Styela clava: one gene and its partner. The protein of the gene in region 2 purifies or fractionates together with the protein of the main gene of each other region. This does not show direct contact. Links are inferred from orthologs where the notes say so. Each region holds a gene or a part of one and is shown on either strand. Other genes may lie near its edges. The genes, in order: CDK-activating kinase assembly factor MAT1-like and cyclin-dependent kinase 7-like.

What was found.
Region 1: the proteins of cyclin-dependent kinase 7-like (region 2) and CDK-activating kinase assembly factor MAT1-like purify together in Drosophila melanogaster (affinity purification with western blotting; 3 studies listed by BioGRID, with this or other methods). This does not show direct contact. The link is inferred for Styela clava from reciprocal best matches to the Drosophila melanogaster genes Cdk7 and Mat1.

Annotation. Positions count from the first base shown.
Region 1 is NC_135252.1:4,391,973-4,395,908, reverse strand, and holds the start of CDK-activating kinase assembly factor MAT1-like, read right to left. Parts: upstream 2,367-3,936; 5' UTR 2,339-2,366; intron 2,147-2,338; 5' UTR 2,038-2,146; exon of another isoform or gene 2,034-2,037; intron 1,315-2,033; 5' UTR 1,309-1,314; coding exon 1,110-1,308; intron 444-1,109; coding exon 147-443; intron 1-146.
Region 2 is NC_135257.1:7,017,281-7,021,216, forward strand, and holds the start of cyclin-dependent kinase 7-like, read right to left. Parts: upstream 2,330-3,936; 5' UTR 2,180-2,329; coding exon 1,961-2,179; intron 1,350-1,960; coding exon 1,170-1,349; intron 1,090-1,169; coding exon 971-1,089; intron 1-970. Other genes in the region: uncharacterized protein LOC120345846, read right to left, coding at 2,605-3,303; HAUS augmin-like complex subunit 4, read right to left, coding at 3,490-3,936.

The DNA of each region.
Region 1 (3,936 bases), on a different chromosome or scaffold from region 2:
ACCTGAGTAGTGGCAAGCCATGTATCTAGTTCAGGCCAAAGATAAGAGTAATCACAATACCAGAACTGAATATTCTGCAAAAATCCATAATTTTTTCCCCGAAGAATAGAAACCTGATGAATTACAGTATGTTAAATTTGAATTACCTTGAATATGCCTCTTGAGATCATTTTGACGTTTTTCATTCTCTATTTGATCTTGCCAGTATGCCTTTTCTTGACTAATTCGAGCTTGATTGCGACGTATTAAAGCTTCATTTTCGAACTTATAAGCAGCAACTTTTGCACGGGTTGCCTCTATATTTATGCCTGATATAAGACTGTCAATAATAACTTCTACTTCTTCAAGATAATCATTGTATTCTCGCAATGACCCAAAGTCTGTTTCTTGTTTGTTGTAAATCTTCATTATCTGTTTTCGCACATCAACCTCTTTGTCTACACCTTGAATCAAAAGAGCTGGATTCAACTGCCAAGACTCATTTCAATTTACCAGTCATGGCCCGGAGATGTATCTTATTAATATGCGGGGAAATAATGTGTTCCTTATTAGTAATTACAGCAATTTTGCATATTATTTATCTTCCCTATAGAAATGTATCGGATCTAAAACTTAAAGTGAATAATGGAGCAACTTTTCTCAAATAAACAGGGTGACCCAAAGAAAAAACGAACCCAGGTCAGTTAGAACATCTCAGAGAAAACATAACTTTTGTGAAGTGCGTCATAAATTATTCAACCTTTTGAAATCATTGACAAACAAAAGTTCAAGTGGGATGAATCACCCTGTGTCGGGAAAATTTGCTGAATAAAAGTAAATACTGCCTCATACTACTGCAGATAGAAATATAATTCACTTAAACTTATGATGGAATTATGACAGTACCCTAGCAGTGTCTCTGCCATTATTGGGTAACGCCCGATTTGCATTATTAAATATGTATAGGGGCTTATAATTTTTTTCTTATGCATATTAAACACACACATTAAGTTAGAAATATATTATAAACTGAATATTTTTCAAATCAAACATTCTACAGCAGTAGTAAAACCTCCATGTACAAAAGAAAAAGTTACAAAACCGTTTACAGTAACACAACACAAGGTAACCTGTATCTTCAAACAACTGAGTTCGAAATCCACTTCTCCTGAGAGGCAATCCACATTCTGGACATGACCCAGACTCCCTGACAAAAAGGAGATCAACACATGCCTCACACAATGCATGCCCACAAACATTTATCATTAATCGAAGTGAAGGATTCCTATATTTCGTCATACGGCATCTTGGGCAACTCAAGTCTTCCATTTTCACCTGAAGACAAAAAATAGAATACAAATTTAAAATGCGATAGCCTAGCGTTTAAAGCATGGGTGTGCAAGCGGGCCAGATACAAGTAGCGTAACTGGGTGAAACCGCAGGCCACACCTTATTTAACATAGGCTTTCTAGTAGTTGCAGGCACAAAAAGTTTGGATATTGATATTATGACATGCGTTTTTCACCTCGCACAAGCTAGTTTCGGGCATTGTAATGTCATACACATAAATTGGACTCAGGCATGGGCTTTGCAAGACGAAAAGATTGGGGGATCCAGATTAAACTAAAGTAAAAACTCGTTTCGCGGGTCGCACACCATTCAAAATTGGCACTTCTATGCGGGTTGCAAAGATTTTCCTTGCAGGCCACGCAGGTTGCACAACCCTGGTTTTAAGCATTAGACTTAGCTATGTTACCATCATAAGTTACACATCTTTGGTACAAATCACATGATCACTAACATATTGGACAGGCAAAGTCGAATCGGGAAGATTTTGGTTTTATCAAAATAGTATCTCCCTATTATTGAGTGGCTGCTTATGCATGATTTGCTCGAAGCAAATTGCATCAATAAGCATTGCAAAAAAAAATAAAAAATAGTGGAATAAAACCACAGACGCAGGATAATAGTAAGAAGTGTATATCAAATCAAAAAGAATAAGTAAAATAATAAACTTAATATCTAAGAAAAGAATACTAATAAATTTTGCTTACCTACTTTTCAATTTAGCTGTGAAATGAATGAAGAAAATGTATTTTCAATCACTACCGTTTACCACCATAATGATAGGCCATTCTAGGCTCACAAGTTTATCAGATGCAAAAATCTGGATGAAATATCATGAATTAGCAATCTGGTACAGGTAGGTACGTGGTTCCATAGGTTTATTAGCCCATTGAGGTTAAATAAATATACTGGAGCATGTGATACAAAATCATCACACTCGTATGGTAATGAAAACAGCCTTATATACATTTTTAAGAGAAAATATAGGCATATATACATCAGTCTTACTTACCAATCACAGTAGAAGTGGGAGGTAAGTAATGTATTATGATTTCATATGACTTGACAGGCTTAAACAATAATTAAAGCTGTTAACAACAACGGATGTAAGAGAACAAATATAAACAATATAAAAATAATTTTAATAATAATATCATTTCATGCTACAGACAAGAAAAATGAAATAAAAAATAACGGCAATAGGGTAAAAGTTAATACATTTTACCACTCATTTAGTTTTGTGAAAAGTAACACTGAATATTGATAAACTCATGCTTTCGAAACACAATCTAAAAATCAATATCTCACAGATGAAAAAATATCTTACCACATATATGAAAAGCAAATAACAGTTCCACTGAGACGTATAACTAGGGATGTTGGGATATCTATATTTGAAGAGTTTGGTATTTTAGAAGTGTGGCCAACAATGATATTAAATAACGTAAACACACTTTGCAAAAAACATGTTAATTTTACTCAAAAGAAAAACCATGACGCCACAGTGAAATTGGTTACAGAAATCATAATTTCGATTATCTGAATCATTGAAAAAATCCTTTTTCAGGTATTTCTAATGTTCAATTCGTTCAAAGTATTTTGTTTTACACTGAACCCATAATCAAAGAAAGTTATAATGATACTTGGTAGCCCACTTGGGCTATTATGGGGTAGGTAATTTGAATGAAGCTTCGGCACATTCCTCTTGCCAACTAATGTGTTACTGACCTATGAACCATACTTGATTAACCCTCCATGCTATATTTAGAAAACTATAGAGAAATTTAACATAAATTATTAAAAATAGGTGCATGTGCATGACGCATACAGGGAAATGAACAATAGGATGAATAAAAGTGCTTATTCATTGAAATTGAAAAGTAATTATTGGGGATTCATTTATTGACATCCAGCCAATGCTCAGCAAATAGGTACAACAGGAATGGGCCCACAATCTTAGTAATTCAAGGAAACACAAAAATGATATTGAATTTAATGGCTATAAATAATAAAGGCATCACATTGTTTGTGTTTATTTCACAGCACAGAAAGTCATAGCTGTAGGCAGTATAGCAATAGGTTATAAAACAATAAAACAAATTTACAAGGCAACAACACAAGTAACAATTCCAAGCAATTGAAAGGTATACAACAAATTTTTTCCAAGTGAGGCTTTTTATTTTAAATATGGAAAACAACATTTTTTGGCTCAACGCTCAAGTATTCATTATTAATATTATACAGTTTCAGAACAACTATCATTCCATCATATTCCATGTTTACTTCAATTCAAACTCTTGCCATTCTTAATAATAATAAAACATAGGTTTCACATAATGACTGATATTATAGTAAATCCATAAGGCTGCAATACAAGTCTGAACAGTAGGTCATGTAAGAATAGTGAATTTATTACTCTAAGCAAGTGCCCTTTTCTCAATTAATTCAATTTCAGGTGAGAGTCCCCTCATGAATAAAATATATATGCACAGGTATCGAATTTGCAAATAGCTTCCAACAGTGTCCATGAAATACCATAAAAAAAAAAACAAATACGGAATTGACAAATACATTCAAAATACAAATAAGATGGTAGAAAAGAATGTTTCA
Region 2 (3,936 bases):
AAAACAATGGATGTCGGTTTTTATATAATGTTTAGTAAAAAATCTATAGTTTTATTTTTGATAAATGAACACAAAAGACCATAGTGTTATTCTTCAAAAGAAATAAATCTAAATCCTGTCTAAATTTTGTGGAAACACGGTAAGAAGTGCTGTACAGTGTACAAAACTGCTATGCGTAAAAAGCCACATGATCATTCTTTGTGTAGCAAATTTTTGTTCCTTTGAGAAGATCGTAAAAAGGAAACTTTCACAGATTAGAATTTAAATTCAATTCAATTTCTTTTGTTTTTTTGAAGATTTATGTATTCGAGTCGCCACCGATCCTAATACCCAGTAAAATTAACCAAAGCTTTCTACATCTTTTCACGGCCCACTGAGATTTCTTTTGCGACCCACCAGTGGGTCGCGACCCATAGTTTGGGAAACGCTGGTCTATAAAGTTTTTGTGGGTTTTAAATAAAATGGAAGTGTCCATTGAAGTTTCACTCCTCACTGCCAAATGAATCTGTATTCAGTTCACAGAAACGCATTTAACTTGCAATAATGTAGGTCAACAATCATTTTTGTCAAGACTGATCTCTGAATTCAGTCAAGATAAATGACTTGAAGCTTGACAAGTTAATTTTCGTAAACAAATGGAATTCTTGTGCTAAAATTTTTTGTAATATACAAATTTAATTTAAAATGAAAACTCCCACAAAATAATATTAAAAAGTGCATCCAGTTAACCGGTGCTCCAGGAGTATGTGTACCTAATTTTACGTCCAATATGGACGTAACTAACGAACTAATGTTCGCCTACTTTACATCAAGTTGTGCACAGGGACTGATTACCATGTTGCTTACTGAAGAGTCATATTTAAATCTCATAGATGCTCAAATTCATACTACAATCCATCCCTTTTTCTCAACAATGACAGAGCATTAACATGATGTATAACACTAGAATTAAGGCGGTTTTAATTCCTACCTCGTAACAACTTGATGTGTATATTCTCTGCTTGGACTTCCAAATGATTTAGCCAAACCAAAATCACCAATTTTCAAAATTCCTTCTGCATCAATCAATAAATTGTTGGGCTTCAAATCCTATTGAGGTGTGAAGAGAATGGGATAATGAATAGATTCTTGAATAATGCAAATCAAGATACAACAGTAAACACACCTACCCTGTGCAAAATCCATTGTGAATGCAGATATTCCAGGCCTTTTAATGTCATTATTGTGTAAGCTTTAATGTGACTCTGGGTCAGTACAATACTTGTGTCCTTAATTATTACTTCCAAATCAGTCTCCATGAAATCGAACACTAGACTGATGTTCGACTTTTGTCCAAATACATCCAAAAGCTAGAAATCAATATTACACAAATAAAACACTCAGAAAAATAGGCAAATATGAATAAAGGTTGTAAATACTTATACATATATGATGTAAGTCCCCAACCGGTAGTAATTTTCTTATGTTCTTATGGGTTGGGGATGGGGAATATCACTTTGCATTTGAAGTGGATTCACAAATAAGTAATTATTTCAATTTGTATTTATGGATATATTATAAACTATTCATATTGTGCAAAGTCAGAGTGAAAGTTGTGAATAGTATTAACTAAGGATTCATTAATGATTGAACAAATAACGGAAACAACAGTTTTTATACATAGTGAGGGAGGAATTTGTCGGAAAAGGTTGGGAACCATTGGTAAATAAGTCATACACTCCAAGATATTTTGGTATATATTGGATGCAAAAATTATGCAGTAAGAACTTATAAAAACATATCCTCAATATTTTGATAGGCAAATCACAATAAAAAAATACCACGTAGTATCACATACAGATACTGGTATTTTCTTGAAGTAAGACATATGCGGTCACTGCTCACTGTGAAATTATCACAAAGACATGTAAAATTTTTGCATTAAAATGTATACATTATCATAGTAATACAAATAATTTACCCCAATGATATTTTCATGATGTAGTTCTTGCAATAACTTTATCTCTCTCAGGGCAGTTCTATTAATCCCATCTTTTGCTTCAATTCTATTTCCCAGCTTGATTTTCTTCACAGCAACAATTCTATTGTCATTTTCAGTATCTTTAGCCTTGTATACTGTTGCAAATTGACCTTCTCCAAGAAATTCCACTTTCTCATATCTAAGGGTTTTGTCTGTCATATTGTTAGCATACTTACCAATTTTTAGGTATTTTGGTGCTGAAAAACAGTGATTTGCAAGAAAAAAAATGTTAACAAAAAAAAATTATTTATACCAGATTTGATAATTTTTACGCTTTGTTGTTACTAATTATTTCTCACGAATTGAATAATCAGATATTAATTTATCAGAGATAGCCTACACGATGTACTTCGAACATCAGAACATAAATGTAAGAGATAATTCATATAATAAAGCAAGAAATAATTCATTATTTTGAACATTAATTCAAATCTTACATTTTGAAATATTTGCTATCTAAATTTATCAAAGGAACAAATTCCATGTTATAGATATGGAATAAGAACCATACATTACAAAATACCAATTCAACCTTTCAGACTCTCAGTGTTGTTATTTATGATAATTTTGAATATAAATAGAATTCAACTGTCATCATGACTCTTATTACGCAAATGTCTTCTGTTTTTTTTATTAATAGATTTAAATTGATGTTTTCCACTTGAAGATGAAGAGGCATCATCATTGTCAACAGGGTTGAGTCTTGAAATTGAATCATCTAATTTTGCTGCTATTTCACTAGCAAATTCGGCAGCTGAGATATTTTCTTCTAAATGATCAAGTTCAACTTTATCGCACAGAATTTCATCACTATTTATATTCGGTTTCGAGTCTGTTTTCCTCTTATTTTCATTCGGCACACCAGCTGCATGCTCTGGCATTTTAAAAACGTGCTGTTTCGATGTAACAGAGCATTCATTTTCCAGTGATGTAGAATCTTCTTTATTACTTAGTTCACGTAAAAATTGGAAAGCAATTTGTGTATTGCTTTTATTGTCACTCAGCTCTGTATCCCTCAAGCTGTATTTTGTATAACGAGATGGATTGACTAAGAAGTCAGGCTTGGGAGGCTTTATCAGAGCTTTAGATTTATTGTTGCTGACTTTTTTAATCCTGCAATCATTGTCATCTTGTTCACTATCATCAGATTCAATCGCACTATCTGAAGATATCATGTTAGAGGCTGAAGAATCAATTCCAGAAAAAATTTCATGCATTTTGGATGCAAAAACAGGATTTTCGCATGAAATCGTGAATCCTGGACTTTTTTCATCAGTATCCATAGTTGCCACCTGAAAGTACTTAGGATCAAATTACCATAAATCTAAAAACAGAAAAAAATTAAAAAAACTTTTCCATCAAATTATGCACCAAAAAAAAAAAACGATTTACCATTTAATTTGTTGCTTATCAATTAAAAAATCAAAAATATGAAACTTTCATTTGTTATAAAACCAAAACCAATTAATCTAATGTAATTTATTCAAGGCCCATGTACGTCGTTCAATATCTTCTTGTAATTGATTGTATTCATTCACAATAACATTAAATGAGTCCCCAAGGTTTCTAAACTCAGTGAGTTGCTGCTCAATGGCAACAATCTCTTGATGATTATTTCTTTTACGTTTCAATAATTCTGACCTAACTGATTGCAATGCAATAATGCTATCTCGAGTATAAACAGATTTTTGTAATTTTACAGTCATTGAAGAAATTTTTAAAGACAGAGCTTCACAGCGTGAAAGTAAATTAGAAAAGTGTTCATCATCTCTTTTAGGTTGTAATATTAATCTATATTTTTCAATAACTTTCATAAGATATTCCGCAGATTCCAATATTTCTTTAGCACATGAGTTATATAGTTGCTTTTCAGTTCGTTGGGAATCTGCAATCTCTTGCCTACGCATTTGTAATTT